Saccharomyces cerevisiae S288C: one gene and its partners. Changing the gene in region 3 together with the main gene of any one other region gives a genetic interaction. Each region holds a gene or a part of one and is shown on either strand. Other genes may lie near its edges. The genes, in order: SEC63, CWH43, FYV8 and DED1.

Region 1 (7,549 bases), on a different chromosome or scaffold from region 3:
ATGCACCCTGATCTCCTGACTTGAGGATCCAAATGTAACCTTTGACCTACTACTTGACCTAACTGGCTTATACACTCAAGGTATAGATCTTTGTTCTCATTAATCCTTTCCAGGCCAAAATTTTTCACCATTGGCTGCTTATTATGTAGTAGTGTGGCACCACTAGTGAGACTCTGACCCCAAGTGGGTAGTTGTGCATCAAGTATATCTGATATTGGGGTGGCAGATATGCATCCAGGAACAGTAAAAATGGGCTGTTGAGGGTCAAGATTGATGTATAGTGGTTGGTAAGCGTTGAATTTCAAAGCGTAAGAACATAGTGTCCTCGATAGGGAAGTCTTCCCGGTTTGCGAACCACCAACAATCACCACTCGAGGGCCTTCAAAGTTAGACATTCGTATCTTCTCCAACATGAAGTGTAGATTATAAATATATTTCATAGTATGGTTAGGCTTGACAGTTATTGTATTCGTAGTTAAATCAGGACATTTCCATAATAATTCTGTTTCTTCGACAGCGTATATGGGAAACTTCCAGTTCTGAAAAGTGTACTCATCATCTACTGCCAACTCGGTGCCAAATATCTCAACTATGCCCGAGTTTACCTTGACTATCAGTTTTCCCTCTGCTTTAAGATCAATTTGCCAATCACTGCCCTTGGGAATAACCAACTTGTGCCATTCGTTATCACCAGTTATCAATTCTTCAGAGGTAGTATGCTCATCAATACCAGGTAGACTTGCCATGATGGTTTAATCGTGTTGGAATTTCGAAAAGAATTAATAGTTTGTTCTTTTCCCTCGATAGAAAGGTCTCTGCTCATTTTTGCCAGCAGTCTTATTTTTTGCTGTTATTTTCTATTTTACCGGGCAATAACAATGAAGAGCACAAATAAGACAAAGAAAGGGAGATCGCCCTTTAAGTAAGTAGATAGATAATTAATATATGTAGCTAAATAAATCGACTTGTCAAGAATATATTTCTCTTATTAATCTCTGTTTTCAGCAATCCACTCGGGCCCGGATTTCAAGACCCACTCGGTCCAGGATCCATCATATAATCTAACATTGGGAACTCCTGCTAGCTCCAATGCTGTCTTGATAATGACTCCTGAAACGCCAGTTCCACAAGAGCAAATAGTTGGTTTACTTGGGTCCAAAGTGCAATGAAAGTCTTTCAATGCCTTTTCCAAAGTAGCGTGTATCGCCTCCCCAGCTTCTGGGTACGTTTTGGTCTCCGGATCAAGTAAACTTCCATATGGTAATGGTTGGGTACCTGGAATATGCCCCGATGGAATGTCGGAACGAGGCTCTGGTTCTGTACCTTCGAATCTACCGAGCGACCTTGCATCGAAAGCATTGAATTTCTTAGCCAGTTCCCCACTCTTTACCAATTGGAACATTTCCTCATAGTCTACAATCTCCTTGTCTTGGAAACTTTCTGAGGACTCATAATGACTCTTTGGATAGGGTGAAAACGCTGCCACCTTAGAGGAATCTAGAGGGTACTTAAACTCTCTGTACTGGTTGAAATTATTTAGTAAGTACACCTTAGGATGTCCCATCACTCCTAATGTCCAAGCACATCTAGGGGAGCTAAAGTTACCAACACGATCGTAAACCACTAATATATCATCTTTTTGAACTCCTAAATTACTCATAGCGTCGTCAAAAACCTTCTTTGTAGGGAACATATGTGGATAGGGCGATTTTTTGTCACTGATTGCATCAATATCAAAGAAAATGGAGTTTGGTATACGTGGTTTGGTCAAGAAATCCACTTTATTATCAAGCTTCCAACTGGGTAGGTACCATGTTGCATCAACTGGAACGATTCTATGAACCTTCTCACTGGCCACTAACTTAACAAACGCTTTTGGAGAAATAAGATCAAATAATGGCATTGAATGTATGGGCAATTTTCTTCACAACTTTATGCTTTTGTCCTCATTGTTTGAATGCACTTACGCTGTATTATTGTACACAGCTGAACATCCCGAGCGAAAATTTTAAAATGGTTTAATAGACGAGATGAGAGATGAGCTCTTTAAAGGTACTTTCTAAGAAGAAAAGTATCGGAACAGGACTTACCACGACAAACTAATCATGCCGGTTACTAAATCTTTATCTAAGTTGCAAAAGAACTTATCCAAGAAAGGGAAAAATATCACGGTTCATCCGAAGGGTAGAAAGTATGAAAAGCTGGTCAGGGCTACTATGCGTGAAGATAAAATCGCAGCCAAAAAGAAGCTTCATCAAGACAAAAGAGTCCACGAACTAGCTCGGGTAAAATTTATGCAGGATGTAGTTAACTCTGATACATTCAAAGGGCAACCAATATTTGATCACGCCCACACAAGAGAGTTTATTCAAAGTTTTATTGAAAGAGATGATACGGAATTAGACGAACTCAAGAAGAAGAGGAGGTCAAACAGGCCACCAAGCAATAGACAAGTGCTACTGCAACAAAGGAGGGATCAAGAGTTAAAAGAATTTAAGGCGGGGTTTCTCTGTCCAGACTTGAGTGATGCGAAGAATATGGAATTTCTAAGAAACTGGAATGGCACTTTTGGCCTTTTGAATACTCTAAGATTGATCAGAATTAATGATAAAGGTGAACAAGTCGTTGGAGGAAATGAATAAGAAGTGTCGCAGAGGAATCTTTATGGTTTATATGCTCTTTATATAATTTTATGTATATTATAGTAGAAAAAGCAAAGAAAAAAAAGAAAATTGATATTATTAGCGAAGCTTTTTCACAAATTAATCCGTAACAAACAAATTGGCAAAGACAATTGAAGGGAGTAGTGCGAAATATGGGCCGTGATATATGCACATTAGACAATGTTTACGCTAACAATTTGGGCATGCTAACCAAACTAGCTCATGTGACAGTACCAAACTTATATCAAGATGCCTTCTTCAGTGCATTATTCGCTGAGGATAGCTTAGTTGCAAAAAATAAAAAGCCATCTTCGAAGAAGGATGTACATTTCACACAGATGGCTTATTACAGTGAAATACCAGTGGGTGGTTTGGTTGCTAAATTAGTTCCTAAAAAACAAAACGAACTATCTCTCAAGGGCATTCAAATCGAATTTTTGGGCGTGTTGCCTAATTATAGGCACAAATCCATCGGTTCAAAATTACTGAAGTTTGCAGAAGACAAATGCTCAGAATGTCATCAACATAACGTGTTTGTCTATTTACCAGCAGTGGATGATCTTACAAAGCAATGGTTTATAGCTCATGGCTTCGAACAAGTGGGCGAAACTGTCAACAATTTCATAAAAGGTGTAAATGGCGACGAACAAGATGCTATCTTATTGAAAAAACACATTTCTTAACAGATGGCTGAAAAATTTTTTTTTTTTTTTTGGTTTTGCTTTGTATACACATGTATCTATTTTTATAAAGATGAAATATATACGTCTAAGAGCTAAAATGAAAAACTATACTAATCACTTATATCTATTCTGGTGATTCATCATCTTCAGCTTCTGTATCCGTATCGATATCAGTATAATCGCTAGCATCACTTTCATCATCACTTTCGGTTTCGTCGTCATCAGTAGAGTACTCATCATCCTCCTCAGAATACACCTCTACTTGTTCCACTGCAGGAGAATCACGAACTTTCATATTCATGGTAATATCCAAATCTGTAGTGAAATAATCTGTGGATTTAACGATTACTCTAAAAAAGAAATCACCAACAGTTTCAGGTGCAGGCTGACCTAATGGAATTTTTATGGTCCCGATTTCCCAATCATTTATATCGAATTTTTCGTGTTTGGTTAAATCCATTTTTATCCTCTTATCAAAGAAATCTTTGTCATCGTTCAAGTTCTTGTAAGATAGCTTTTCAATGATAATTGGCGTTTGAAGTATTTTACCATCTTTTTGAGAACTTACCAGACAGCACCAACTCCCACGTCTCTTTGTAGGGAAAAATGGTGCAAAGGAATATGGGACGAGTGGCTGTTTACTCATCATAGCAAATGGATCTCTTTGAGATTCAAAATCTTGAGGTTCTGTTAAATTTTCTTCAGGAATTAAGCTAGTTGGTATCAATGGCTGTTTAGCAGAACGAACCAGTACTTTCAAAGAAATGTATGGGGTAGATGATGGTGTTACTTGGTTCTCACCTGGGACAAGGAAGTCTGCCTTGATGATCTTTAGATTTGGAATATGCGATGCAACTCTCAAAGTTTCGTTTAACTTTGCTTGATCCTTTATTCCAAGAACCTCACCAATCTTGGCATCTTCTAAAGTAAACAATTTACCTAATGTATGAATATCTCCGGTTTTGGTAATAAAGTGCTCTTTATCTACGTTCGGCAATTGAAGGATTTGACAGTTTGGTGTTAATGGTACAGCCTGAACAATACACTTGAAAGTATTGATTGCACCCAATGCAATATCTAAATTTCTGAATCCACAAGCAATATCCAATAAACCGTGTAACAAAGAGTGACATTTGGCCACTATTCTAAATTTCGCATTGTTAAGTTTACCACTATCTCTGCGGTTAATATGATCTTGCAAAAGTTTTTCAAAATCCGTTGGTTGCAAATCCGGGAAGAATTGTTTAAATTCATGAGCAAATGATAACCAGTGTAAGATCAAATCTGTGGTGACAATCTCAGATGGCTTGTAATTGACTAAGTTACTAACAAAATTAGAAGCCGTCACATTATGTATTCCCTTCTTAGTATACGATTGTGTTCTTGCCCACCATCTACTAACAAAATATGGCAAGATTAAACCTAGTAGCGCAACATAACAAACCACTAATAATGGAGATGCACTTCCATCTACCAAAAATCTTGGTAGAGCGATACCATGTGAAGTAGATTGTGGGCCATCTGGATGACCGTATTTCAAATAGTTTTGCCTAACCAATTCGTCAGTAAGGGATTCGTAAGCCTTCGTAATCTGAACATAAGTTTCTTCCATCACACTTTTCTCATCAGGTGTTAGGCCCTTTGCTAATTTATCTGGATGAAATTTAACAGATAATTTTCTATAAGCAGATTTGATGTCTCTATCGGAAGCACTAGTAGAGATACCAAGGATTTCATAAGGATCAAATAATTTTGTAGCAGCGTCTTTAATCGCGTCATTACTATTAATCCTTTGCAGAAGAATTGCAACTAAGATCCAACCCACAATAATTATAATATTTCTCCTGCTCCATATTTTGGACTTCTTATTACTATTTTTATCAAACTTCCTTCTAAATTGTTTGATTTCATCACTGGTGTATTCTTCATTCAAGTTCTTGAAAACTTCCTCATTAAACTCCTTACTCTTCCCTGAATTCCCATCTTCAGCATTGGCCCCAAAAAAAATTTGGTATATTTGAAGCAGTGTCATAGGCCCGACGACCATCAAGAGCCCCGTTAAAATGAAGGACGGCCACGTCTCACTAGCCTCATCATACTCGTAATTTGTAGGCATTGTGCTGTAATATGCAGTATATTTATTTTGTTGCGAAGGCCTTCTTTGGTCAATTATAACTGACTATTGTTCCAGTCGCATCTTTTATTCGTTCAGTGATCTTCGACGTGTTCAAGACAAATTTTTCAGAAAACGCCTTTCCGTAACGAGTGACCAATTCGCGTTATAAGAGCGATTGTGTCAGTAATGAAGTCAGATTGTGACATTATAAAGCTAAGACGTTAATAACTCAAAATAGAAAAGAAGCATGAGAGCACCACCTTCACCGAGAAAGTCCAAATCTGGTCATTTTTTTTACCTATATTTTCGACTGTGTCAACTGTTCAGTGGCCGGAAATTAAAGAGGAGGTGGCATGTCCACAAACTTCACATTCACCAATATAATACTCGCTGGAACTTGAGCCCCCTCTCCGAAATACACATTGAGGACATGATAAATGAACCGTCTGGACTATGTCCAGGAAGTTCCAAAAAGAAACCACTACTGATTGCAAGGTTTCCCAAGGGTTGCCAAGAATCACCAAGGGTATATGTACTGCAAAGGAACAATTTGTCTCGTTTAAAATTAAGCAAAAGAAAATATGCCCTAAGGTTCTATCACAATGAAATTTTTGGCAATAATTTAAAGAGAAAAGACGGAAGCATCCACAAAGTTGAACACCAACAGTGCGCAGAAACCGTTAGAAAGATCAAGAAAGTCACAGCAAACCATGCTGATGTTAAAATAATATTTCACGATAAAAATACTATAAGAAGTGACAAATTAGGGGGTAGGAGTAATAAGATGCAGACTAGGCCTAGTGTTCTTGAAGAGGATGTAGAAGAAGAAGTCTCTTCGGTATATATCAGATTTTGTGACGACCATTCCCTGAGAGTTAAAGATTATCACTCTTTGCACAGGCATTCTAAAAAATCTTCTAAAGAAAAACGAAATAATCAGGAGATTGGAAAATCTAAGTTGCTTGGGAAGCTTTTTGAAGAGGAAACATCGCGTCAAAACAAAGGTGTAGAGAAGAAACTAGATACGATTGTGATACAGAAATTTCAAAATTATCCTATTGTCTCCTTCTCTCGTGTCATTTAACAAAAAGATATATACAAACATAGGATACTAAGAGGAAAAGCATCCCAAAAAGAAGAAATGCTTGCATGCCATGTATTACATAATTAAAGAAAAAATTTTATTAACATACTTCCTTATACTTACAATATGTATTCTTTCAGTTCAATTTATTTATACCCGATGTCATTAGTCTCTTCGACAAACAATGCAGCAGACTGATGGAGTACTTTGCCAATAAGGTCAATTTGTTCTTGAGCCCTCTTCCAGTCATCATCGTAAATCGCATCCATCACTCCTGGAAATGTCCAGAAATCTACATTTCCACCATTTTTAGATTTATCCTCCTGTATCAATGTTGGTCCGAACAAAACGTTCTTATAAAATGATCTATTAGGTAGACCCGCCGGAGAGCATGTTCTTCTACCAATATTAGTCAATTTTTTATTCCATGTCCACCTATTAATTGAAAGTAAGGAGGGCTCTATACCATCCCCATGCGACCATACTATGTTCTCCCAACCTTGAGTCCATGACGCCCATTCGCTACCGATTTTCTTCCAAAATAACAAACCTTTGATTATTGATGTGAAGTTTAGTTTTTCAGGGTATGCTTGCTCTAACCTTTGCAATCTTTCATCGATATCTTCAACATAGCTTATTATGTCAAAATGAAGTAGCGGGTCATCAATCAATTCCATACTAATATGTAAAAGATATACTAGCAAATCCTTGACAGATTGTTGGTTCTGTTCGTCTTCCAGAATCTTCTCAACACGTTCAAATTTATCCTCAGATGTTTCAGTTGGGGTGTCACGGTTTCTCGTAGAATCAGAAGATATTACAGATACAGGAATTCCATTTGCCAGAAATGGAGTCCAGTCACCATAGTGCTGTACATTATCCACAGATATATCAAAGTTTCCATGCGCGTTTCTATTGAAAAACTTCTTCAATAAGGGATGTGTCTCAATGCTTAATTCTCCTCTAGTTTTACCGTTCTCATATTTTTCGGCAAAGGGTATAC
Region 2 (8,875 bases), on a different chromosome or scaffold from region 3:
AATCTTGATACATGATTCGAGAAAAGCAACAATATTATGTATACGGAATATACTAGGAGTTCTCTTCAAGGATAGAGGAATCCTCAAAATGGAATCCATATTTCTACATACTAATATTACGATTATCCCTTCTTCTATTTTATATGTTTCATTATCCTATTACATTATCAATCCTTGCACTTCAGCTTCCTCTAACTTCGATGACAGCTTCTCATAACTTATGTCATCATCTTAACACCGTATATGATAATATATTGATAATATAACTATTAGTTGATAGACGATAGTGGATTTCTATTCCAACAAGAACATCCTTGAAAGGTCGACTATTAACATAAGAATAAGAGAGAGTGTGTGGCCGATGCTGTTGCTATAGCTCGGTCGTAGTTTAACACCACGGCATTATTCAGCTTTAAAACAATTGAATTATAAACCTGCTTTTCTTACTACGAAAAGTGTTTCCCTTTAATAAATCTATTGTACATACTTTACAGTTGATAGTACCTTCACCATAAAAATATGCAAACGCTTTTGTTATTGGGAACAGGAATACCAACCGTTCTCATGGAAAATAGCAAAGTGTAAAAGAATTTATTATCATCGAGTGATAAAGAATATCGCCAGATCTTTACGGATATATATCGCTAAAAATATTTGTCGCCAATAAAAGATATGTCTAACGCTCCCTTTGCAGGTAGTTTTTTACTGGCATCGCCTTTTTACTGCAAATTATTGAAAATTTTCGAGCGAGAAAAAGGAACGAAAAGAGATGAGCTAAATTCAAATATCAAAGTACTGTCATAAGTGCTTTCTTTATCGACAAATTACAAGCAGAAGAAACATTCACTTCACAATTAAATGTCCGAAAATCACGTTCCTGCCTGGAAAAGAATTGCTTTGAAGAGACAGACTATAAGCAGTGGTGACGAAAGTAAAGAAAAAGGCCAATCCAATCTAATAGATGATGATCCACTAAATATCACTACGCATTTATCCACTGGTAATTTGACAAAGAAAGAGAAAAAAAGAATCATTAATGGTGAGAGCAAATCCTCTACCAAAAAAGGGAAGCGTGTGTCGAAACCAGGGACGAAGAAGAAGGAAAAATTGTCAAAGGATGAAAAGAATTCGAAAAAAAATAAAATTCTTAAAGATCAATTACGTTACCTGATAGAATTTTTCAGGACAAAGTCTGAGAGCAAGTTTCCCACCGGAATCCTAGAATTGGAAAGTGTAAAAGAAAATTACGGCGACTCCCTGATCAAAGACGAGCCATCAGAGTCTGGTGTTGTTGAAGTTTGGAAATTTTCCAAGCAAAAGCAAAATTGGCTTATTAAGCATTTTTTCAACTTGGACGAAATCCCCTCAGTATATAATGATCTTTTGCTTTTATATTTCAGGGACTTACAAGGTAAATCAAAAGAAGAACTAATATCAAAATGCAAAGGAAAACTGAAGCAATGGAACGACTATGTGGAAGATCAAGAAACAAAAATAAAAGCGTTAATTGCAGAGGATAAGGCTAGCGAACCAATTAATGGTGAAGAAAAAGAAGAAGGTGAAAAAGACGGTAATGCCGAACAAGGGAAGCAAAAAGAGGTACAAGACGAGCAAGAGGAAGTACAAATGCCGAATAAAGAGCTTGTTCAAAGAAGTCTGAAATTACTAGAAATTTGGAAGAATGATGACTCGGAGCAGATAGAACTTAAGAATTTCTTCGTTGATGTTTAACATAGAGTTCAACAACGTTGTTCAGTTGTAGTATATATTTTACTGTGAAATACGCTCAAAAAGTAGCGGGATAAATCGTTTCAGGAAGTATAATTTCTTACAAAACTATAACAAGATCGTCTAAGTAACATACATAAAGAAATCACATAAATTTTTAAAATTCGAGGTCAAAAAAATCAGGTGGATACATAACTTACCTTAAGTTATCAAGATTTTCAGTACACACAATGTGATTACACTGATTTATAAAACCACCTTACGGCCTCTTATAAGTAATAACGTGGCTCATCAAAAACATGGTAGAAGTGACCCCTCTCACCTTCGCCTAAAAACTTATCTGGAAATTTCATGTCCTCATATTCCGGTTCACTCATATGACCGTATTCATACATAGAATCCGAGTGCTCTACTAACGCTTGCTCACTCAAAACTTGGAACTTACCAACTTGTAGCTCCGTATCGGTTATCGTTCCTCTTGCAACTCTAGCATATCCTGTTCTTCTCAAGCCCCTATACAAGATATACTCACACCATCTATCATCGTCAGAAGGATCAATGTCGTGCATTCCGGATGTTTCACTAACGTACGTATTGTAGTTGCCTTCACCTGGATCAACAACTAAGTAACTTAATAAAATAGCTGGGCGAGTCGTATTGCCCATGAGCTTAGCCATGTAGTTACTTTGCAGTCTTCTATCCTCTTCATCCTCTTCTTGTCCACTATGGAATACAAAGACGTCAACGAGAGTGTCATTGTACGTTTGAAGTGTGGCATGAATGGCTGGCGCAAGTTCCCCAACTGGAGAGGGCAATAAATGATGCGTAGAATTTACGATAGGGAATTTAGAAAGAAGAACACAGCCCCAGGTATGTTTATTTGGACCTGGTCCGAAATCTGCATACATATTCAAATCATGAGCTAGTTTGCTAGTTAGATCCCTGTTCCCCATGGTAATTCTTTGTGTATCTGTTTCTAGTAGACCTACCACATCTAGTTCCATATCTTTAATAAGGTTGATCATTCTGTCTTCAGATGCCCACATATCATTATCGAGACCAAAGTGGATAGTCCAAATACCAGCTGTAATCAACTGAGAATCTGGATGATAAGGCTGAGGAATTCCTGTAGGTCTAATATCATACACGAACCTAGCTGTTAGTGATAGCAGGGCCACGGCAAAGAAGAAAACATAAATGAAGAATTTTTTGCCCATAGTCACCAGTTGAATGTTAAGGTTTTTGCATGTTAAAGCACCAATAATGATAAATGTGGAAGAAAAGGCAAGAACCGTCTCAATCTTCTCCCTCAGTACCCAGCCCATTGGAACAAATGCGTATGCAACGACCCAAACATGGGCAAGGACAAAGATAATATAAACGGAGAATGATAGGACATAAACCCATATGTTTTGAACTTGGCCTAATGCAGAAAAATACGAAGGAACTAACCAAAGCATAGCGATAGCGTACAATAAACCACCGAAAATATATTTAGGCCATTGTGTAATGCTTCTAGCTGAAAGTACAGCAGTGGATATGAGAAGCAACAAACATGGAACTAATGGCTTGCCCATAAACTTCACAGAACTCAAAGAAGCAAATAACATGACCGTACAAGTTAAGGCGCCCCAAGGCCATGGCAAGGGACCGTGTGATTCATTGTAACCTTCCCATGCCCAATAAATAGTAGTAGAAGAATCCGTCAATAACTGATGAATTCCGAATAACAACGAGCCAAAACCAACAGCCAAAAATAATTTGCCAATCAACGAAGCAGATTTTGCTTGAGCATTCCTTTTCCCTTCGAAATTAATTGAATTAACATAAGGCGACAGCATGCCGAATAAAACAGTAAGCACGAGAGCTGTCTTATTATACCCACCATTACGTTCATCTAAAATGACCCAAGTTGGATTGTTGGTATAGAACCCCATTTTCAAGATCACAGATGCAACAAGACCTAACAGCCAAGTTAGAGCAAAAGAGAAACTAGTCTCCGCATTTGTGATATATCTTAGATTTTGTACAAACGTTGCAACGGTAATGGAAGTTCCCACAGCTACAGAAATCAACCTTAATTCTGGCATCTGAACAATATAGGCACCAATGGCAATAATACCTCCTAAAAGTACACCATATTGCGTGAAGGCTTCAGAAACGAACGGCAGATATAAGAAAATGGGTCCCAAATAACCCAATATTGCAGCTTCATAACCTGAGATTCCCATATACCATAGCGGGAAATGCCAAATACTACATAACAGGGACGTAACGTTCGACCAGAAAAGAAAACCGTTAAAAATATTTGTTAGTAAGTAAAAAAAAGAGTCAAACCTGAAATATGAACCAGTTGCGCTTCTAGCAACGGGTTTTTCCTTTTCAACCTTCTTTTCACCACTTTTCTGCAATTCTGAACTTTTTTCTTCTCCATAATTTATGGGACTAGAGTCTCTAATTTGGAAAAAACTGGTATTACCGGGTTTCTCATTAAAAGCGAGAACAATATCTATCTTTTTGAAATCAGCGTAAGCAAATGCATCAAATGCAATATCTAAAAGAATCAGAGACCATTCGAAATAAGCATATATAGAATATGCCCCAGCTCTCTGTTGGACGGAGTGCTGAATGTACCAGTAAATCATCGGGAACAATGTTCCAAAAAAAATTGTAGCAGTCAACCCTTTGTTCTTCGAAGTTAAAGGACTAGAATAGCGGGTAATCATTATATCCCATGGTAACGTTAAAACAATGTATGTGATCATAAATATATCATGAATATCGTGGTCATCTGTACTTGTAATGTATACCCAACCACCGCAAGAGACTGTCCGGAGTACACCGACAAGGAAGCATACCTTAGATTGGTTCAAGTAGTAGTGACCTAGTAGCAGTAAAAATCTTGGAAAAGCAGTTAGAGCTATTAAGATTTGGAAAATAGAACGTTCCGGATAGCGGTCCCCGATAGTGGCTGATACACTAGGAAACCACTCATCTGGATACGTATAATGTGCATTGGTTACAATTTTATGAAAATGTAATGAATAACCAGTGACCAAAGCTGCAAAGAAGGCGGAGAATGCACAAATAGTATGAGCTATAGGGATGATCTTCCCATTGATGATCAGCATAACTGGCGGTGGATACCTTCTGTATTCCTGGTTACTTATTCCTCGAGAAATCGGACATTAAAAGGGTGCAAATACTGTGGAGAAATTATAAGTTACCAAGTCAAAAAGCGAATGAGAATCTATTGTTGCGATTTTTTTGGTTACTACTTCTTACCCGAACTAACTTTACATAATAAAAAAGCATGAAGCGCATATTCAGGGACTCAAAAATCCCAAACTGGCACTTCTGTATATACCGATGAGCATACTTTGATTGTAAAAAACAACATTAAAAAGAACTGCAAACCTGAACCAAGAATACTTAATTTCAAAACCGAGAAATGAGGTACAACTTGTAGAAGTTCACTTAAACTTATTGAGCATACAATCTCAACAAAACTAACTGCAAAGTTTGTTGCTATAGTCATATAGTAATACTAGCAGGAAGCCATTAATCAAAAAGAAACTCCATATAAAACGTAATAAATATTATGAATAATAGTACAATATAAGAACAAAGACGAAGAAAATACATTATAACTGAAGTGCCAATATTAGAAAAAAAAAAGGTGGAATATCCTAGTGGAAAAATATCATCTATGCGGTGAAAGAATTAAATAGATACTATGGATTGTTTCGATCTATCCTTTTATCTGCTGCTTGCCTTTTTTTTTCATTCTCCTTCTTCAGTCTTTTTCCATAGGCGAGTCCACAGGGACTACAAAGTTCCCTGTTTTGGTCGGGTCCACTACGCCATTGAATTGTCCAAGTGTCTTTACATTTAGAGCATTCCTTTATCTCACCATTTGGGAGGATTGTTTGTCTCTTTTCTCTTTTAGGACGACTAGTAGTCTTTTTGCTGTATTTCTTCGTAATACTGGCAGACCGACTAGTTCCTTGTGCACAACTATGGTAGCCTTCAAGATTGTTTGCTTCTTGGCTAGTCGTACGTCTCTCGGAATTGCATGCACTAGTTACACGATTCTTTGAGGGTGTAATTTCGTTCAAAGAGCTGGTTTTGTTCTTAACAATATTTCTTGTAAGATCTCTTAGTTGTTCGGCATTCTCAATTTTTTTTTCAACATCAACAGCCCTTATTTGAGAAAAGGATACTTCAATAAATGAGCAACTTGCATAAACTCTTCCGCGTTCCTTATATGCCTTCTTTTTATCGTTTGACTTCCAGTCATCAATTTCTCTATTTAATAATAACGTTTTCTCCATATCTGACTTTTTAACTACTCTAGTTAAGAAGGAACTTCCAGAGTTGTCATAATTATTATATCGCATACTAGCAATAGTAAATGTCTGGTTATTTACCTAGCAACCTCTTAACAAAGCGATAACAATGAAACAGCAATATAAGTCTATTTAATTGACAACATCATTGATAAAAGTTTGAACAAGCGTCTAAAAGTCGAAGAAGTTCATTTCAAAGTTTTGTGTATCGAGCTTGATGATACTTATTTAGGGATCCGCTCTAGTTTACTGTGATACAACTGAAAAACATTACAAAGCTATCGCGCCTGCATTCTCATATTAGTGGCGTATGTTTGTGTCACATTCGATACTTCTACATAATACAATGACTGAACCCTTACCGCTGGCACAGGAATACCGCGCCGCGAAAGCAGGGTCTAGGAGAAACAATAGAATTCTTGGCGATGAGAGAGGGGAAGGCTTTAATAAAAAAAAATAGCGCTTATCCGATTCTGTTGGAATAAGTGGCTATCAATATTTACATGTTGATATGGTAGTAAGGATATAAATGCTTATATTGAATATTTGGAATAAGCATCAACTATCACTTATTGAAAAGGACTCGAACAAAAAAATATGAAATGTCGAAAGCCACATCACTGAGAAGTTGTTGGATTGAAGCTCTAAAATGTCATCTTTTAGTAGTATTCGTGTTACTAGTATATTATCACATGCGGTGTAAAAAGATGACGTAAAGATTGAGAAACAGTCATCAACTGTTATGGAAGCTGAAATGCAAATATTGATAATGTAATAGGATAATGAAACGTATAAAATGAAAAAGAATAATAAAATATTATTATGTAGAAATACCGATTCCATTTTGAGAATTCCTATATCCTTGAGAAGAACTTCTAGTATATTCTGTATACATAATATTACTGCCTTTATCAACAATGGAATGCCAAAAATTATCAAAATATCACCCAATATTCAATTTTATTGTTGTGAAGACATCAAGCCCTAGATATATATCATAGTAGGATAAAATAGTAGAATAAAACTATTCATATATCTACGTGAAAGCATCAGAGATTGTAATGTTGAGCGCCGTGGCGCAGTGGAAGCGCGCAGGGCTCATAACCCTGATGTCCTCGGATCGAAACCGAGCGGCGCTATTAAATTTTTTGAACTGTCCATTAATAATAATGGAACTGACGTCGTCAATTACCGGTAGCTTTTTTGCCCACATTTTTAATCATCTTTTAAGTATTTGAGTATTTGTTGTTCACTAGAGTTTTACTAATTAAGGTTCTGAGAAAATAAAGATATGCATTTAGAAAAGTCGGTTCTACACCGCAAATTTCTTTATTACAGAAACATTTTATACAAAGAGGATACATAGTTATTGGAAAGAAAATCAATTATCTTTTTGTTGGGTAGTATGAATATTACTTGTACATTATCATATACAATATAAAAAGATGTCATAGAGTTGTGAAATATTTATTATATTTAATAAAAGCTGAAGCGCAATGATTGAAAACGTTTTAGGATGATTAATGATAAAGTACAAAATGAGGAGAAGAAATAATAATAACATAAAGTGGAAATACCGGTTATCTTTTAAGGATATTATAACCTGGAGGAAAACTTCCTGGGTTCTCTGTATATTCAACACTTTTCCGTTATCAAAAATAGAATCCCAACAGTATCCCCATTTTCGTCAATATCTCCATAACGACAAGGTCTTCTAGATACCATATAATGACAATAACCAAGCCCACCATTTAGGTGGATTTTTTGTGTGGTTTTGAAATTAAAACATTTTTAGAGGAAAATTGTGATCACAGAATTTCACATTCCCAGTTACTTTAATAATATTCATAGTTAGAGATGAAGAGGTACTATTAATATGAAGGTTAAGTATGAATCTTCTCATGCTTCTATAAGCGAGGGATATAAAACATCGCCAACTGTTTCATCTTATTTATTATCAATATTATGTGTGTTTGGAGCTTACTATACAGTTAATGTGATAATTAATATAACTCTTGTATAACTACCATATCAATGTTCAATTAATAGATCTTAAATCGGTTTCATTACTACCTGAACTGCATGTATGAAATTTCCTTCCACATTAGGCACATTCACATGTAATACGAGATGTACATCTATATGTGATATTAGCATTTACACAGCAATCCTATATCACTATTAATGGCCACTTGTTCCAAAAAGTATATATTATGAAGCGTATTATTATTTTATACTCAGATAGCTGGTGCGATACGTTCGCAGATTTTGAGCGCAATGCAATGAGTATGACGGAAAGGTTCACTCATAATTTCAATAACTCAAGTTGTTTGAATTTAAAATACATTCCCCGTTAGATAAGCTATAAACATTGTTACTTGCGCTTGCGGCACATGTAATGTAGTTTCTTTCTTTTTCCAAGAAAAAAGAAAGCCCTGTAGGGGGCTCGAACCCCTAACCTTATGATTAAGAGTCATACGCGCTACCGATTGCGCCAACAAGGCTCTTTAATTATGAAAAATTACGTTTAATAAGTGACTTAAAAATATAAATACTGTTACTAAAATGTGAACTAAAACCTCAATATTATTTTCTGATCACTTGATGAATAGCTGGTAATTGTTGGATTCCATTGTTGGTAAAGGCTATAATTTTACGTATATAGAATTGTTGGAATAAAAATCCACTATCGTCTATCAACTATAGTTATATTATCAATATATTATCATATACGGTGTTAAGATGATGACATAAGTTATGAGAAGCTGTCATCGAAGTTAGAGGAAGCTGAAGTGCAA
Region 3 (8,400 bases):
AGTGTAAGAATATTTAAATTGTAATTCACGTAATGCCTTCTCCTCCTCTCCTTCTTCCTGCTCTTCTACATCAGCATTGTCTTTTTCTTTTGTGGACAGCATCATTGCATTACATAGATATGAAGTCAAATTATTAGATACAAGAAAATCTAACTGATATTTTCTGATTTCGTACAATGTTGACCACGCATTTGTTAGAACTTTCGAAATGTTTCCTGGGTATACACATCTGGTGCTGTTTTCTAGCCAATCTAAAGATTCTGATTGGCTCATTAATGGCAAATTATATTCTTTGTAGAAGGAATTCAAGGAAGTCGCAAACGTAGATACCGTATTATCGTAATCAAAAACATTTTCGATTGAATCGGTTTTGGAGGAGTTTTGTAAAATAAAAGAATACGCATCAATGAATGAAATTATGTCACGGTGGGAGTTATCGTGCAGTTGATAGTACTTGTCGTTGTATTTCACAAAATTAACAAAATTTAGTATAGATTCTCTTTTAAATGTCTTCTTCTTTATTTCGTCATTACTGTTATCGCTTAGGTTTTGGAAAAGAAACATTGCTGTTTTCGAAACTTCAATACTTTGAAAAGTCTTTTCCATTGAAGATATTATGAAATTATACCAACTGGGATTCACTTTTATTTTTTTTATGTGAGTGAATTTGAAATAATACTGCAAAAAGACATTAAAATGCTCCAAAGCTTCATCATTTGTCTCACTAGCAGTAGGAAATTTGGCCTTCAACAAAACGTTCTGTCCGAACTTCAAATAAAGATCATCATTATCAATGTGCTTTTTGAGAGGTGACTGGAACTTCTTTATCATGTAAAGGAAAAGAATAAAAGGATTTTCGACGGTAGTTTTAAAATTTTCTGCTAAATCCTGAATTTGATTGAACCTGAGTTTTGCGACGATCAAGCTGATGTATTCGAAAAGAAGACCGTTTGATTCGGGAGGGATCGTATCCACGTGGGCCAGTAGTTCTTTGTAAAAAACATTTTGCATGATATTTATGTCTTGCGAAACTAGACCACGGTAGTACAGGTTTTCTACGATCAAATACCTATCATACTGCTCCATAAGTGCTGTTTTTTGCGATGCAGTGTTATTATGAATTTTCAACGAGTGCAGCAAGCACCGCTGCGATTCCTGAAATTGGCCCCTGTGGAAGAAAAGAATACCGAGGCAATTGAACAGAATTTTCTCCACTAGTTTTGTAATCTCCGGATAGTCATTCAACTCCTCCATCATACTCATATTCTTTTCTAAATTTTGACTTTCCTTCAGTAAAACATCACAAACTGGTTTTGCAGGCCCATTCGATCCAATAACATGGTAATGTAGTCTAAACTGTAAGTTAAGTACGGAATCTAAACTATCAAACCCTGAATTGAAGGTGCTGCCACCTAAGAGTCGCGCTCTTAGCGCTTGGTCGACCACATCTATTATCTTCGATGGAACAGTAGGAGGAATCCGAACATTTGAGTTAGGCATTGGGCAAGTTGGTATTGAACTTCTTTCCAGCTGGCGTGTTCAACTTGTTCCTTCCAGTATGCCACACATTATGCCTTGCACACCTAAAGCACATATTTTCGTTATTTTTCACCACAATAGGTGGATCTCGAAAAGGATGGAAAATCAGGAAAAAGAAATGTTGAGAAAAAAATAAACCGATTCCCGTTTAGTTTTCTCCTATTTCCGTGTATATGCGTGGTTATTCGTTTTCGAATCCTTTTATGAATGTCCGAGGAGGTGGTACAATCCGAAATAGACTAAAGAAAAGCGAAAGCCGTGAGTTTGTTTGATGATAGATGACTCGCAGCTTTGTCATCAACGGGCCACCCTATTCGAAGAAGGGAATGGAAAACGGACTGGCGTAGTCAATAAGCGTCTTCATATCTTAGCATTGTTGAGAGATACATAGTGTACTCCATATCGTTCTTTTTTTTTGTATATATCAAGCCACATATCCTGTTTCTTTAATCTTTTATACGCCGTAAGAATCGGGTACTGACATAAGTGTAAGTAGCCGTACAGAGAACAAATATGACTAAATCGGTTGGTGATGAAGAGTCACAGTACATTGAGGACCCTAGTTTTGCAGCAGCAGCTGCATTTACTGGCGGCAGGGACGGGGTTTCGTACAGTAATCAGCGATTTGCTGAGGGTTCCGGCCATTCTTCTGACTTAGCAAAGTCATTAGAAGACTATCGGCCTCCTGATGAAAAGCCGTCCTCATTGTCATCTGTGGGGGAAGGTGGCGCTAATGAGGAAGAGAAGGGCGGTAACGACGGCGGTCCCTTGGCAAGAATTCAAACAGGGCTTTTTTCTCCAAGACTGCGAAATCATAGGAAAAAGATTCTCTCGAAGTTTGTTTTGAACAACTTCTTCATTGCTTGTGTGTGTGTATCGCTCATATCGATTTACTGGGGTGCCTGTTACGGAACAGATCGTTACTTTTTCAAAGTGAAAAATATTGTTGTATTGCAGGATGCGCCATCTAATACTTCAGTTCAATCTATTTCCGCGATCATACCCTCATTGTTAGCGTCTGTCCCCGGGACATGGCATATATACAACGCAACATCATTTCATAGGAAATTTGGTACGACGAACTCCACCGAAATTGACAGAAAGATAGTCGATTTAATTTACGATGAGAGATACTGGCTGGCGTTAAACGTTAAACCTAATGCTACAGACACTTTGTATAATTCTTTGATTAGCCAAGACGCAAACTCGGAGTTCAATTCATCAATTTTTTTTGAATCCGTGTTTGAAAGTGGTCGTGACCCATCGAGTGTTAAATCGACCATTCTACCACTCATGCAACAATTGGAGGTCCGCCTTCAGAAATATTACGTCAAGGAATATCTTCCCTCATTGATGAGCAACATCACTTCTAATGACAGAGATCTTAATATAAACATGGAGAACTGGGCGATTGCAGGACAGTTGTTGTTCACCTACAACGATTATCGTCCCTTTGCTGATCGTATTCTAATGGCCCCTCTGCAGGTCGGTCTGATTTATTGTATTTTGTTAACCGTTTTACAACTGTCATTATATGGTAAGTTGCACGGAGAAATGGCCAGAGTTCTGAAGCCAAAGCATATTTTAATCTACAGGCTTCTAATTTCCTGGGCAACTTATTTTCTTCTTTCCATTGGATTCTGTACCGTATCTGCAATTTTTAGGATCGATTTCACCCCCGCCTTTGGCAGAGGAGGATTCGTAGTATATTGGATGTCTACGTGGTTGGTAATGATGGCTGTTGGTGGTGCCAATGAAAACGTTCTCAGCTTAGTTATAGCTTACTGCCCTCCATACCTGAGTATTTGGTTGATGACGTGGATCATATTAAATATTTCTGCTTCATTCTACCCAATGGTTTTGAACAACGAATTTTACAGGTACGGCTACATAATGCCAATCCATAATGCCGTGGATATCTATAAAGTGATTTTTTTGAATTTAACCAAAAGAAAAATGGGAAGAAATTACGGTATTCTCGTGGCATGGGTTGCCCTCAATACATCCTTGATGCCATTTTGTATGAAGTTTGCAGGTAAAAAAATGCAAAAAAATGCTATGCAAGCAGCAGAAGCCGCTGTCGCAGCAGCTACCCAGCGTGCTAGCCGCCCGGCAGAGGCCAATACTGATAAAAATAACAACCCGCCCGGAAATTAATGGGTAGGGTTAATAGCTTATTCATATATACACTTAATACGATTAAAAATTATTTATATTCTCATCATCATAAGATGAAGATGCAAATATCACAACAATTATATAACGTCGTTTGTTTGTTTGGTGACACATTAGTGTTTCATTCCGGGTAGCTATTTTGTTTTTCTCATGCCAAGAATTCTGTAAGGCACTTAAAAGTATTCCTAAATACCACTTTCATACATGGTTAACAAGGTAAACACAAAACTTGCATTATAGTTAAAAGGGACTGTTTGATCATTACCCTTTTTCTGGAAAGCGGATATTTATTATGAGCACTGAACAGGTCGGTAGAAAGAAATCGTATAGATGGGTTAGCGCATCTCAAGCAAGTTATGACGGCGCTGGATGGGACAGTAGTGACGAATATGACTACTCTTCCGAGGATGGCACAAAAGGTTCAGAAATTCACAAGCAAAAAATATCTAATTTGCCTAGTTTACCCAAGCTCAATTATACAGATGTTAATGGTGAGCATGATGAAAATACGGGTGAAAATAAAGACAGCAATGATAATAACGTCAGTAAGAGTGATATTAGTCCTAGTGACAAGGAAGTAGGCTATCTCTCAGATGGGGTGCCTAAACTTATGGCTTCAAGAGAGTCTGTGGAATTACAAGCGAAAAAATCCAGCGAGCACTCCAAATCAGATTATCTTTCGTCGACAGCATCTTTGAAAAGTCCAAGTGAAAACAAAAAATCACCACATACAAATAGGGCTGTAAACGAAGACCTAGACAATTTGATAGAGCAAATATCAAGGGAGATGACACCAGAAATTAGGCAAACATCTGATTTTCGGCGTGATTCAGACAGTTGTGACGAAATCCAAAACGAAGCACCATTAGGGGAAGCGGTACCCTCTTCATCATCTCCTGTAGAAGAAGATGAAAAATCACATTCCTTAGGGGTTTCAATGGATACTAATGAAGCTGATACCACTTTCAATACGCCAACAAGGAATGGAAATGAACATTTGAGTAGTGATGGCGATGTTTCTGAGCAGAAAGACGACGAGTTTAAAGTTTCCGAAAGAGGCTACCTTGCAGATATTCTGCCTGCGGAGAAAGAGGAGAATTTACAACAAGAAGATGATGGTGAAGTCGAGAGCTCAGGAGCTTTGGAAAAGAAAGAAAAAAGTGAAGAAAAGACTAGTATTAGGAATAGGAACTCTACATCTAGTGGGCAAGATAAAGTAGCAAAGCCGAAACCCGTAGCAAATGAAACAAAAACTAGTGATAATGGATATCGAAATTCTTTTTTCAATGATTATCAGCATTCGTCAGACTCTGAAGAAGATGATAACAACGAAGGCAACAGTGGTAGTAGTGATGATGATAATCGATCTTCGGTTAGTGATAAACATGCTGATATTAACCGGCAATCGAAACAACTTGATACAACTGACGATGATGCATTGTCGTATACCGAATCAATAAAATATTCGACAAATGAGACAGAAGAAGAAGATAATGAAGATAATGAATCCATAGAAGACAAAAACGAAGATAATGAATCCATAGAAGACGAAAATGAAGATACAGATAGCTATAAATTTTCTAATAGGGAAAAAGGTTCCATTCTACTTACGAGTGATGAAGAGGAGGAGGAAAAAGGTATGAGCTCTGATTCAGATGAAGGCAGTCTCAAGGCGCCCAAATCAGGTTATTTCTCCAAAATGATTGGTAATGATGATAAAGGTGATTCAGCATTGCAACCTAATCAAATAGACACCATTGAAAATACCAATTTGTCAAATAGCGGTTCTGAATTGGAAAACAGCGATGGCAGCGATGAGGAAGACCACATAAATGAAGACAAAGTTTTGGAAGAAAGTTCAGTTAAAGACTCCACTGATGTTGATTCTTGGAAGCCGGACAGTGAGGCCTTACGATCAGGGTTCGTACAGGATACAGCCAATAAGAAAGCGCCACCAGGTTACGTGATCGATTCTAACGGGAAGCTAGTAGATTTAACACCTGCTAGTATGAAACCACGTGTTGTATCGACTTATTCAGAGATGGAGAGTACTTGGGATGCATTCCCTTCCAAAGGCGAAGATGACGATTTGGAGACAATCAGGGACACTAAGACTATATACGACAACAATACGATTTATAATGTTCCCGGTTTGATTGGTAACCAATCGAATTTGCCACCTCTACCGATGGACGCACAGGAACAATTAAATGCAGGAAACGATAATAGTACAACAGATAATGATAATAGTAACAATACTGCCAATGATTTGGCAGCGCGCAGTGCATCTTTCAAAAGTGAAAACAGAACAGTATCTCAAGGCGAAATGACAAGCGTCCATGAACCCAGTACTGAAGAAATGGCGAAATTGGGGCAGCAGAATAACTTACCGAAATTAGATATGAATAAACTACTGAACAGTAAGACTTCGCACGCCGGTAAGATAGAACAGTTGAGAAATTATAAGCGTGAGCTAGATGAATATGATACGGGGATACAAACATGGATAAATTATACGCTAAAATCATCCTCTAATAAGGATAAGGATTTCATAGCTGAGGAGTATAAGCAGCATAGTCACGTTAGGGAAGCATATGCGAACGCGGACGATTTGAGTAAGAAGCATACTGTCATTAACACGGTTGCTAGTGTCAACCAAAATGTAACGCACTTAAGGAGAAAAGTTTTCCAGCATTCTATGAAACCAAAGGATTTATTCGCATCAATAGGTAAGAAAAAACTGTAAGCGTTTTGCTTTACGGTAGAAACACGAAAATGTAAATGCGTTCAATTTTCAATTTTACTGTTTTTTATGTACTTTTATATAAACAGTGGCAATTAATGGCGTTTTTTATTCTACCTAGCAGAGGCGTTACTGACTCTTTTCTGAGCATGTTTCCTCAGTTCTTCATCCATCAAATCTCTTACCCTATGAGCACCTGCGATGCCGATGGCAAGAACGTTCTCTAACCTATCTAACGGAATTTTGTCTTCCACCAATAAAAGAGAAAGTTTTTCTGACTTCCCTACCACACCTAGTGTCACTGTACTCATAGCATTTTCTTCTAATGAATTGGTATCTAATAATGGGGTAGTATCGTACAGCCCGACGGATATACCACTTATGTAATCGAACATTGATATACCGGCATCTATTAAAGCGAGGGTAATACCGTTGATTAAAGATCCCATAATACCGCCATCTTGCTCAAGGACATGGATCTCGATATCGATAACTGTTCTGGGGTAGATATTCAGCATGACATTCTTCTCAAACATCCTCACCAGGGAGGTTTGTATCTCAAGAACACGCCTTTCATTCTTGTGGCTTGATTTACTTCTTTCGAATTTGGAGAATTTTGTAATGTTTACCGATACGTTCAATAAAGCCTTTGAGGTATCCATTTGAGATTTCAATCTTGGCTCTTTTGGACCTTTAACAAGAGTGATAATTTTGTTGTTACCTTGTTCCATGTAGGATGAACCGTCTGCAGCGTGCGGATGTGTGTTGATGGAACTTTCAAAACGGCGGAGTTCATTCCATCGACGTCCATCGAGACGTAGCCCTTCTGGCGAGTATATTTCTAGTCTTGACATATGATGATCCTGCTGTAGTTATGGCACTAAAGTTTTTTTGTAAATCTTTTTATATGTTAATAGATTTTACCAGTGGGACCCTGGAAAGAAAATATGTGTAAATGATGTTTTCTTTTGGATGATGTTCATTGCACAATGGTTCGCAATGTCATTCATTCATCCATTTCTTCTAGCTTTTCAATTATTAATGCCTTAAAATTTTTCAATTTCACCGCGTTACCCGAAGATGTAAATGTACCTACTCAAATAAAAGGTTCCTTGCTGGTTGGCTTTCGTAGCTAAATTGAGTGCACGTTACAAGATTATAAATGCGTTTATATATATATATTCCAGTGAATGATCTACTTTTGCTTAAGCGGCAGAATTGCAAATCTTAATTTTTCTTTTTTGTTTATGTTTTATTTCCTTGTGACAAATAAAATTTTTTTCTCTTCTGAATTTTTAAAACTAAAGAACAAAATATTAAAATAAACAAACAATTCTCCACTTTTTCTTCTTTTGGTATAGAAACTGATAGAAATGTCCTAGACCCTTAATAAGCAAAACACTCATCATTATAACGGGAAAAAATTTGAAGCAAGCTCAAAAGAGATATATATATCATCCAGCATAGACTACTATTAATTTCTATCATAATTGCAATAAAAAAGGAAATATTTAGGGGATCAAGACCATTATTCCATCAGAATGGAAAAAAGTTTAAAAGATCACGGAGATTTTGTTCTTCTGAGCTTCTGCTGTCCTTGAAAACAAATTATTCCGCTGGCCGCCCCAAACAAAAACAACCCCGATTTAATAACATTGTCACAGTATTAGAAATTTTCTTTTTACAAATTACCATTTCCAGCTTACTACTTCCTATAATCCTCAATCTTCAGCAAGCGACGCAGGGAATAGCCGCTGAGGTGCATAACTGTCACTTTTCAATTCGGCCAATGCAATCTCAGGCGGACGAATAAGGGGGCCCTCTCGAGAAAAACAAAAGGAGGATGAGATTAGTACTTTAATGTTGTGTTCAGTAATTCAGAGACAGACAAGAGAGGTTTCCAACACAATGTCTTTAGACTCATACTATCTTGGGTTTGATCT
Region 4 (7,861 bases), on a different chromosome or scaffold from region 3:
TGATTTAATCAAATAAAATCTTAATGGGAAGAATTGTGGTGTTGGGATTAATCTGATTACACCCAAAGTAACCTGAACCAATGGGTAAATTAATTGTCGTAAAGGAGATTCACTGCCATTTTCCTTTTCTGGTTGACAAGCAAACGATAGTACACGAGACCAGAAATCCAAGGAGTGACAGAATTGCCAGTTGTATACAATCTTGTAAGCTTCTGCGGAATTAATTTTACTGGATTTTTTAGTTGTCGCGTTCATTGTATTTCTTAAATGAATTGCCAATTGCCTAATATACTCAAATCCAACTTGGTAACCTAGAACTTCATCGATACCGAACAATTCAGCTGCCGAATTTTTTTGAAAATTAATCAGTGGCATAGAACGCATATTCGTTTTACGACAACTTTTGATAAAAGTGGAGTACGTTGTTTTTAAGGTTGTTTCTAGCATAGACTTCTTGAACTCTTTGGTGGTATTGATCAAAAAGGCAAAAGAAGCAATCTGGGTTTCTAATTCTCTCGTTGTAGACCATACTCCAACAATTGATTTAATAAGCTCCTTTAAGATCCTTCTGTATGATAAAAGATAAGGCATCAATTCGTTGACAGAATGAAGAACTAATGCTGCTGTTTCCGTATTAGTAATATCATTCAATAAAATCAACAAAGAGCCAGCATGCGACTTGACAATGGACGAGACCCTGGAGACGTTACCTCCATTTGGTAAGGTCCTTGCGCCTTTTACAATCTTGTATGGGGCCATCTTTTGAATCGCTTGTGGTACATCTTTCAAGACCATGAACATCAATTCGTGGAATGCTTTCTCATCAGTGATAGCATATTTATAGTCTTCGATGTTTTCTTCCTTGTTCAAATTTACAGCAACCTTGAAAGCACTGATTATGTTCCTTAGTAATTTTAAGCTTGGAGAATCATGAAGTTGTTTTTTCCATTTCCTAACCAATTTCAAAGAAAGCTCAATTTTTTCCTTTTCCAGCTCCATTTGTTCAGATTTTTCTTCAATATTACTGTTTCTTTCAGCATCTTCACCTTCATCTTGACTATCAATTCCATCCAATGGATTGGTACCTGCGAAGTCCAATAAATCTTTATCATTTTCCTCCAAATACTTATAAAATTCGGGATCCTTTTCGGCCAACTTTGCCATGCTTTGTCCCATGTCTTCCTCCTCTTCGGAAGAGGAGGAATCTTCATCAGATTGCTCTTTCGTAGTTTTTTTCTTCAATTTTTTATTCTCTTTTGGAATTTCGATGCCCTTTTCAAAAAAAGTTTCGACAGACATGTCCTTAAAAACCTCTTCCTTTGCAGATTTTTTCAACTGCTGTTGTTCCCTAGTACCAGCAGCATCGGCCTTTTCCTGATCAGTTTTGTTGCCACGACGGCCTTGGATTCTCTTCTTTTGGATCTTTTCCTTTCTTCTTTGGTCTAGAGTATGCTTCAAATGCTTCGATTGAAACTTCTTGGTCGATTTAGAAACTTTACCCATCTCCACTTATTCTATTGTTGACCTTCTCTATCTCTCTTACAATTCAAAAATTAGTATAAATGAATTTACCCATGTACAAGTATTCTGTTTCTCTATTTTCTCTGTAAATATCATGCTCATCTCATCGGAAGAAAAAATTCAGAAAATTTTTCAAAACTCGTCGAAGATGATAACTACTATTTGATGTTATGGGTCAAGATACATTTAACAGAGCAATATTAACGAAGGACCTTCCTAGTAACACGTCTAATTACTTTGAACAATTCAATATGCGGGAATGTTGAATCTGTGTCATGCTCTTCGAGGCGTACGTCAGTTTTCCTGTTCTGTGATTGTGAAAGTGAAATGTGCGTCATGTTCCATAAAACTACAGGATCAGGATCCTAGTAAACCAGGATATTATACGAAGCCAAAAAGTCTACCCGACTCAAAACTAAATCCTGACCTCCAAGATCTGAAGTATTTGCTATTCAGTCAAGACATACAGCTCTCGAAACAGGCAACTCAAAATGATCCTGACCTCAAAACCAAAAGAGATTTACTATTGAGAGTGATTTGCAAAAGGTGCAGTAATGCCCTTCATCATAACAATTATAACCCGGAAGAGTTTCCCGAAAGCACATTAAATGATATTCTGAACTACGTCCCCAGAGGCTCAAATGTTATGCATATTGTCCCCTTTGTAGAATTTCCCTTACATTTAGACCCCAATGTTTTGAAACGAAATGATTTAGATACTACATTAGTGTTAACGAAAAGCGATCAAGTTTTTAAAGATAAAAATGCTGTCAGCAAAAAGGTTCCTATATTCATGAAGCAATTTTTAAAGAACACTTTAAGAATTGACTCAAATAAAACATTCGCCATATCTGCGCTGAAAAACTGGAACATATCCATGTTTTACAACTACTTTAAAAACTACACATATTTGCTAGGCAACCCTAATGTTGGTAAATCAACTTTGATCAATACTCTACTACAGAAATATCTTGGATATAAGGTTAAAATTGATTCTACTGGGAAAATTAACTCCCCCTCTGAAGAAGTGATGCAAGAAGCTTTTACGAACCCGAAGAATTTTTTCAAGATTCAAGCTGCTGGTGTATCACATATTCCCAATTTAACTAGATCCGTACAAGCCTACCAAGTTGGAGGTAAAATACTTTTTGATCTTCCAGGCTATTCAACTTCCACCTCCAGATTACGCCTAGAAGAACTAATCGACGAGCGTTGGCTTCAAAGGCTGCGAAAAACCGATTTATTCAATCGGAAGCATATAAAACAGAAGACTTATGAGTCTATGAAGGGCACATCACAGGGAGGCTGTTATACCGTGGGAGGGATTTTCTACCTGGTACCTCCGAAAGGATCCATAAATCAGATTGTGAAATACATACCAGGACCATCAAAAACATTCAAGAACATTGAAAAAGGTATTGATGTATTCAACTCGTGCAATTCATCATCTGGCACACATCCGTTATCACGGTATTGTGGAATTAAAAGCGTTATATGCGAAAAAAGCCAGTACAAAAGGTACGCAATACCTCCATTTATTGGAAGTATAGAGATCGTTCTGAAAGATATAGGATATATTTTATTAAGGACAACTGGGAGGTATGAGTTCAAAGGACTACATGAGATATGGATACCTAGGGGTATCCAAGTAGGTATAAGGGAACCGCTAGAAAACTTGATTGAGTCTGGCTACCAGCGTTACATTGAAACAAATGGTAAAGAGTCAAGCTGTCCCAGAGATAGACCGATCATCAGTTCCCTGTATGAGATGGCCCCGGATGAAGCTGATACTTTGAACGCAGTGAAGAAGTCGTATTTAGAAAAAACCGAGAAAGATTTATCTGCTAGAAGATTTGTCGACGATGATCCTTATGATTTGGTTCAACACCTAGAAAAAAAAAAGAATCCCTATTGGTACTACCAATGGTAAGACTCGCTGTTCACTTGGTTGCACCAATAAGTAGTAACGCACATGTAAATATGAATGTAAGTAAACTAAAAAGAAAGTTGGGAACAAAGTATATTCAAAAACGAATATACAGGAAATAAGCAATAGAAAGTATTATGAATTATACTGTTGATGTTTATTCTATCTACAAAACACAAATAAAGTAGAGTATAAGGCGAGTCAATAAAAAGGCCTCAACTCAAAAAAGGGAGAGAAAATGTAGGAAGGAAATGAATACTATTATACAATGGTACTGTGAACAGTAAGAATATTTTCGTAAGGTAAAAAGAAACAATAACAAACAAAAAAGGTCGAAAAAACTGTTCAAAATAAAGTCTCTATTCGAAGAAAACTGAAAAAGTGGAAGTGGAAATAAAAGATAATGTAAATAATCAGTCCAATGAATAGATCGGTTAAAGCAATTAAGCAAAAATAGTGGAAAATATAGTAAAAGTAGATAATAATTCCTTCATCTTTTCACTAAAAGATGAAAATCTTAATTGCTTATAATCATAGTGAAATCTTTAGTTTTTTAGTTAATATTAGCAAAGGCATTTTATAGTACAATTGTAAAATAATATTAGAACCATGAAAGAAAAAAAAAACAAAAAAACGATGGATAAAAAATAAGAGTGGAAAAAAAGTAACAGATTAGTGGCTCCCAGTGAGAAAATAAAAAAAATATGGGGCCAATCAACGGCTAGAGAGAAACAAACAACACAGTATTTTCAGGACTTGGATAAAAAAAGTGATTGGAGAAAGAAAATATAAGACATGCTAGAGCAGAAAACGAAGAATCCTCACCCTAGTTTGTCTGAAATCACCACCAAGAAGAGTTGTTTGAACCACCGCTGTTACCCCAGCCAGAAGACTTGGAATCGCTACCCCAGCCACTACCGCCTCTGAAAGAGTTATCTCTGCTTCTTGAAGAGCCCCAGCCGCCTGCGCTAGCGCCTCCGGCCTTACGGTAATCTCTGTTGTTGTTGCGACCGAAACCGCCTCTACGGCTGTTGCTTCTGCTACCTGGAGCACTCATCATAGCGTCCTTCAAGAATGATGGGACTTCTTGGTTAGCTTCAGTCAAAATTTCATGCAAACCTTTAACAATGTTACTGTTTTCACTGTTGAAAAAGGCAGTGGCAAGACCGGTGTTACCGGCACGACCAGTTCTACCAATTCTATGGACGTAATCATCGACATCACTTGGTAAATCGTAGTTGATAACGTGGGTGACGTTTGGAATATCTAGACCTCTAGCTGCGACAGCTGTGGCAACCAATAAAGTAGCGGCACCAGATCTGAAGGCGGCCAAGGCACGTTCTCTCTCAGATTGGGTACGGTCACCATGAATGGCGGTAGCTCTAAAGTTTTGCATGATCAGGAAATCGGTCAATTGATCTGCCATTCTCTTAGTTTCGACAAAGATCAAAGTCAAACCGTCAGTGGATGCAGACAATAGATCCAATAAGGCTGACTTCTTATCTTGATTTTCAACGTATAAGACTTTTTGAGTAATGTTTTCTGAAGTAGAACCGACTCTACCAACAGACAAAAAGATGTAGTCACTTAAGAAATCACGGGCCAAATGTTGGATATCAGCGGGAAAAGTAGCTGAGAACATCAGAGTTTGTCTTTCACCAACAGGAGTCATATCACAGTCTTCGACAATATGTCTAATTTGAGGTTCGAAACCCATATCCAACATTCTATCAGCTTCATCTAGAACCAAATACTTGACGTTGGCCAAAGAAATTTTACCACGTTCCAACAAGTCATTCAAACGACCTGGAGTAGCGACTAAAAGATCGCAACCACGTTCAATTTCTCTTAGTTGGTTACCAATTGGAGAACCACCGTAGACGACGCAGGCCTTGACCCAGGATCTATAAGTAAATTTCTTGGCTTCATCGAAAATTTGGGTGGCCAACTCTCTAGTTGGAGCCATAATGACAGCAGTTGGGTAGGCCTTTCTTTGGTAAAAGGAGCCTTGAGACTCTGGTTGAGGAGATGGTCCAGTCTTAAATGATTCGGACAACACTGGGAATAAAAACCCACCAGTCTTACCAGAACCGGTCTGCGCACAGGCCATCAAATCTCTGCCGTTGGCAACGATAGGGACGGAGTATTTTTGCACAGGTGTTGGCTTGGTGAAACGGGCCAATTTGATGTTTTCCAATAACAATCCGTCCAATGGAGGTGAGGTAAATTCTGTGATTGGTTCAGGAACATCCTTACCAGAGGCGTCCACTGGAATATCATCGTAGTTATCGAAGTTAATACCAGAAGATTGGAAATTTGGATCCTCGGGGACACCAAATATGGCGATCTCGGCCTTTTCGTTTCTTGGAGCTGGGACATGTTTGCCATCGATCCATCTACCACCAGAACGGCCGTTAGATCTGCTGCCACCGTTGTTTCCACCGAAGAAACCACCGTTGCCGTAACCACCACGACGGTTGTTGCTAAAGAAGCTGCCACCGCCACGGCCACCGTTGTAGCCGCCGTTGTTGTTATTGTAGTTGCTACTGTTATTTCTGGCACTTCTTGGTTTTCCTCTTAAGTGAGGAGGAACATAACCATTCTCGTTGTTGTCGTTGATGCTTAAATTTTGCACTTGTTCGCTCAGTTCAGCCATAATATGAAATGCTTTTCTTGTTGTTCTTACGGAATACCACTTGCCACCTATCACCACAACTAACTTTTTCCCGTTCCTCCATCTCTTTTATATTTTTTTTCTCGAGTTCAAGAGAAAAAAAAAGAAAAAGCAAAAAGAAAAAAGGAAAGCGCGCCTCGTTCAGAATGACACGTATAGAATGATGCATTACCTTGTCATCTTCAGTATCATACTGTTCGTATACATACTTACTGACATTCATAGGTATACATATATACACATGTATATATATCGTATGCTGCAGCTTTAAATAATCGGTGTCACTACATAAGAACACCTTTGGTGGAGGGAACATCGTTGGTACCATTGGGCGAGGTGGCTTCTCTTATGGCAACCGCAAGAGCCTTGAACGCACTCTCACTACGGTGATGATCATTCTTGCCTCGCAGACAATCAACGTGGAGGGTAATTCTGCTAGCCTCTGCAAAGCTTTCAAGAAAATGCGGGATCATCTCGCAAGAGAGATCTCCTACTTTCTCCCTTTGCAAACCAAGTTCGACAACTGCGTACGGCCTGTTCGAAAGATCTACCACCGCTCTGGAAAGTGCCTCATCCAAAGGCGCAAATCCTGATCCAAACCTTTTTACTCCACGCACGGCCCCTAGGGCCTCTTTAAAAGCTTGACCGAGAGCAATCCCGCAGTCTTCAGTGGTGTGATGGTCGTCTATGTGTAAGTCACCAATGCACTCAACGATTAGCGACCAGCCGGAATGCTTGGCCAGAGCATGTATCATATGGTCCAGAAACCCTATACCTGTGTGGACGTTAATCACTTGCGATTGTGTGGCCTGTTCTGCTACTGCTTCTGCCTCTTTTTCTGGGAAGATCGAGTGCTCTATCGCTAGGGGACCACCCTTTAAAGAGATCGCAATCTGAATCTTGGTTTCATTTGTAATACGCTTTACTAGGGCTTTCTGCTCTGTCATCTTTGCCTTCGTTTATCTTGCCTGCTCATTTTTTAGTATATTCTTCGAAGAAATCACATTACTTTATATAATGTATAATTCATTATGTGATAATGCCAATCGCTAAGAAAAAAAAAGAGTCATCCGCTAGGTGGAAAAAAAAAAATGAAAATCATTACCGAGGCATAAAAAAATATAGAGTGTACTAGAGGAGGCCAAGAGTAATAGAAAAAGAAAATTGCGGGAAAGGACTGTGTTATGACTTCCCTGACTAATGCCGTGTTCAAACGATACCTGGCAGTGACTCCTAGCGCTCACCAAGCTCTTAAAACGAGAATTAAGAAAAAGTCGTCATCTTTCGATAAGTTTTTCCCACAGCAAAGCAATAGTAGAAAAAAACAATGGGAAACGTTGAATGAAGACAAAGCGTCGTGGTTTAAAAGGAAATACGCTCACGTACATGCTAGGGAACAGGACCGTGCAGCGGATCCATATGGCAAGAAAAAGGCCCACGTCGAGAAGCTAAAGGAGATCAAGAATCAGGCGAAATTAAACCAAAAGAGCCATAAATCCAAGTTCCAGAATAAGGACATTGCTCTGAAACTTATGAATGATAATCCTATCTTCGAATATGTCTACGGCACCAACAGCGTTTATGCAGCGTTGCTGAACCCGAGTAGAAATTGCCATTCTCGGTTGCTGTACCATGGCACTATTCCTAGTAAATTTCTTCAGATAGTCGATGAACTGAAGGTTACGACAGAGCTGGTGGACAAGCACAGATTAAACTTGTTGACCAATTACGGGGTGCAC

What was found.
Region 1: mutations in FYV8 (region 3) and SEC63 together harm fitness more than expected from each alone (negative genetic interaction), as found in Saccharomyces cerevisiae (2 studies listed by BioGRID).
Region 2: mutations in FYV8 (region 3) and CWH43 together harm fitness more than expected from each alone (negative genetic interaction), as found in Saccharomyces cerevisiae (2 studies listed by BioGRID).
Region 4: mutations in FYV8 (region 3) and DED1 together harm fitness less than expected from each alone (positive genetic interaction), as found in Saccharomyces cerevisiae (2 studies listed by BioGRID).

What each region holds. Positions count from the first base shown.
Region 1 is NC_001147.6:801,562-809,110, forward strand, and holds SEC63 (protein-transporting protein SEC63), read right to left. Parts: upstream 5,463-7,549; coding exon 3,471-5,462; downstream 1-3,470. Other genes in the region: cleavage polyadenylation factor subunit CLP1, read right to left, coding at 1-746; TUM1 (thiosulfate sulfurtransferase), read right to left, coding at 989-1,903; TMA16 (Tma16p), read left to right, coding at 2,106-2,642; peptide alpha-N-acetyltransferase subunit NAT5, read left to right, coding at 2,816-3,346; OSW1 (Osw1p), read left to right, coding at 5,710-6,546; TRE2 (putative zinc metalloprotease), read right to left, coding at 6,693-7,549. UniProt on the Saccharomyces cerevisiae protein: Acts as a component of the Sec62/63 complex which is involved in SRP-independent post-translational translocation across the endoplasmic reticulum (ER) and functions together with the Sec61 complex and KAR2 in a channel-forming translocon complex.
Region 2 is NC_001135.5:142,776-151,650, forward strand, and holds CWH43 (Cwh43p), read right to left. Parts: upstream 4,860-8,875; coding exon 1,998-4,859; downstream 1-1,997. Other genes in the region: RNA-binding ribosome assembly factor RBP95, read left to right, coding at 859-1,731; SRD1 (Srd1p), read right to left, coding at 5,463-6,128.
Region 3 is NC_001139.9:887,793-896,192, reverse strand, and holds FYV8 (Fyv8p), read left to right. Parts: upstream 1-4,006; coding exon 4,007-6,460; downstream 6,461-8,400. Other genes in the region: YPP1 (Ypp1p), read right to left, coding at 1-1,500; SNG1 (Sng1p), read left to right, coding at 2,053-3,696; exosome non-catalytic core subunit SKI6, read right to left, coding at 6,571-7,311; XKS1 (xylulokinase), read left to right, coding at 8,318-8,400.
Region 4 is NC_001147.6:721,154-729,014, reverse strand, and holds DED1 (DEAD-box ATP-dependent RNA helicase DED1), read right to left. Parts: upstream 6,105-7,861; coding exon 4,290-6,104; downstream 1-4,289. Other genes in the region: mRNA-binding ribosome synthesis protein NOC2, read right to left, coding at 1-1,503; GEP3 (Gep3p), read left to right, coding at 1,781-3,451; imidazoleglycerol-phosphate dehydratase HIS3, read right to left, coding at 6,407-7,069; MRM1 (Mrm1p), read left to right, coding at 7,307-7,861. UniProt on the Saccharomyces cerevisiae protein: ATP-binding RNA helicase involved in translation initiation. Remodels RNA in response to ADP and ATP concentrations by facilitating disruption, but also formation of RNA duplexes.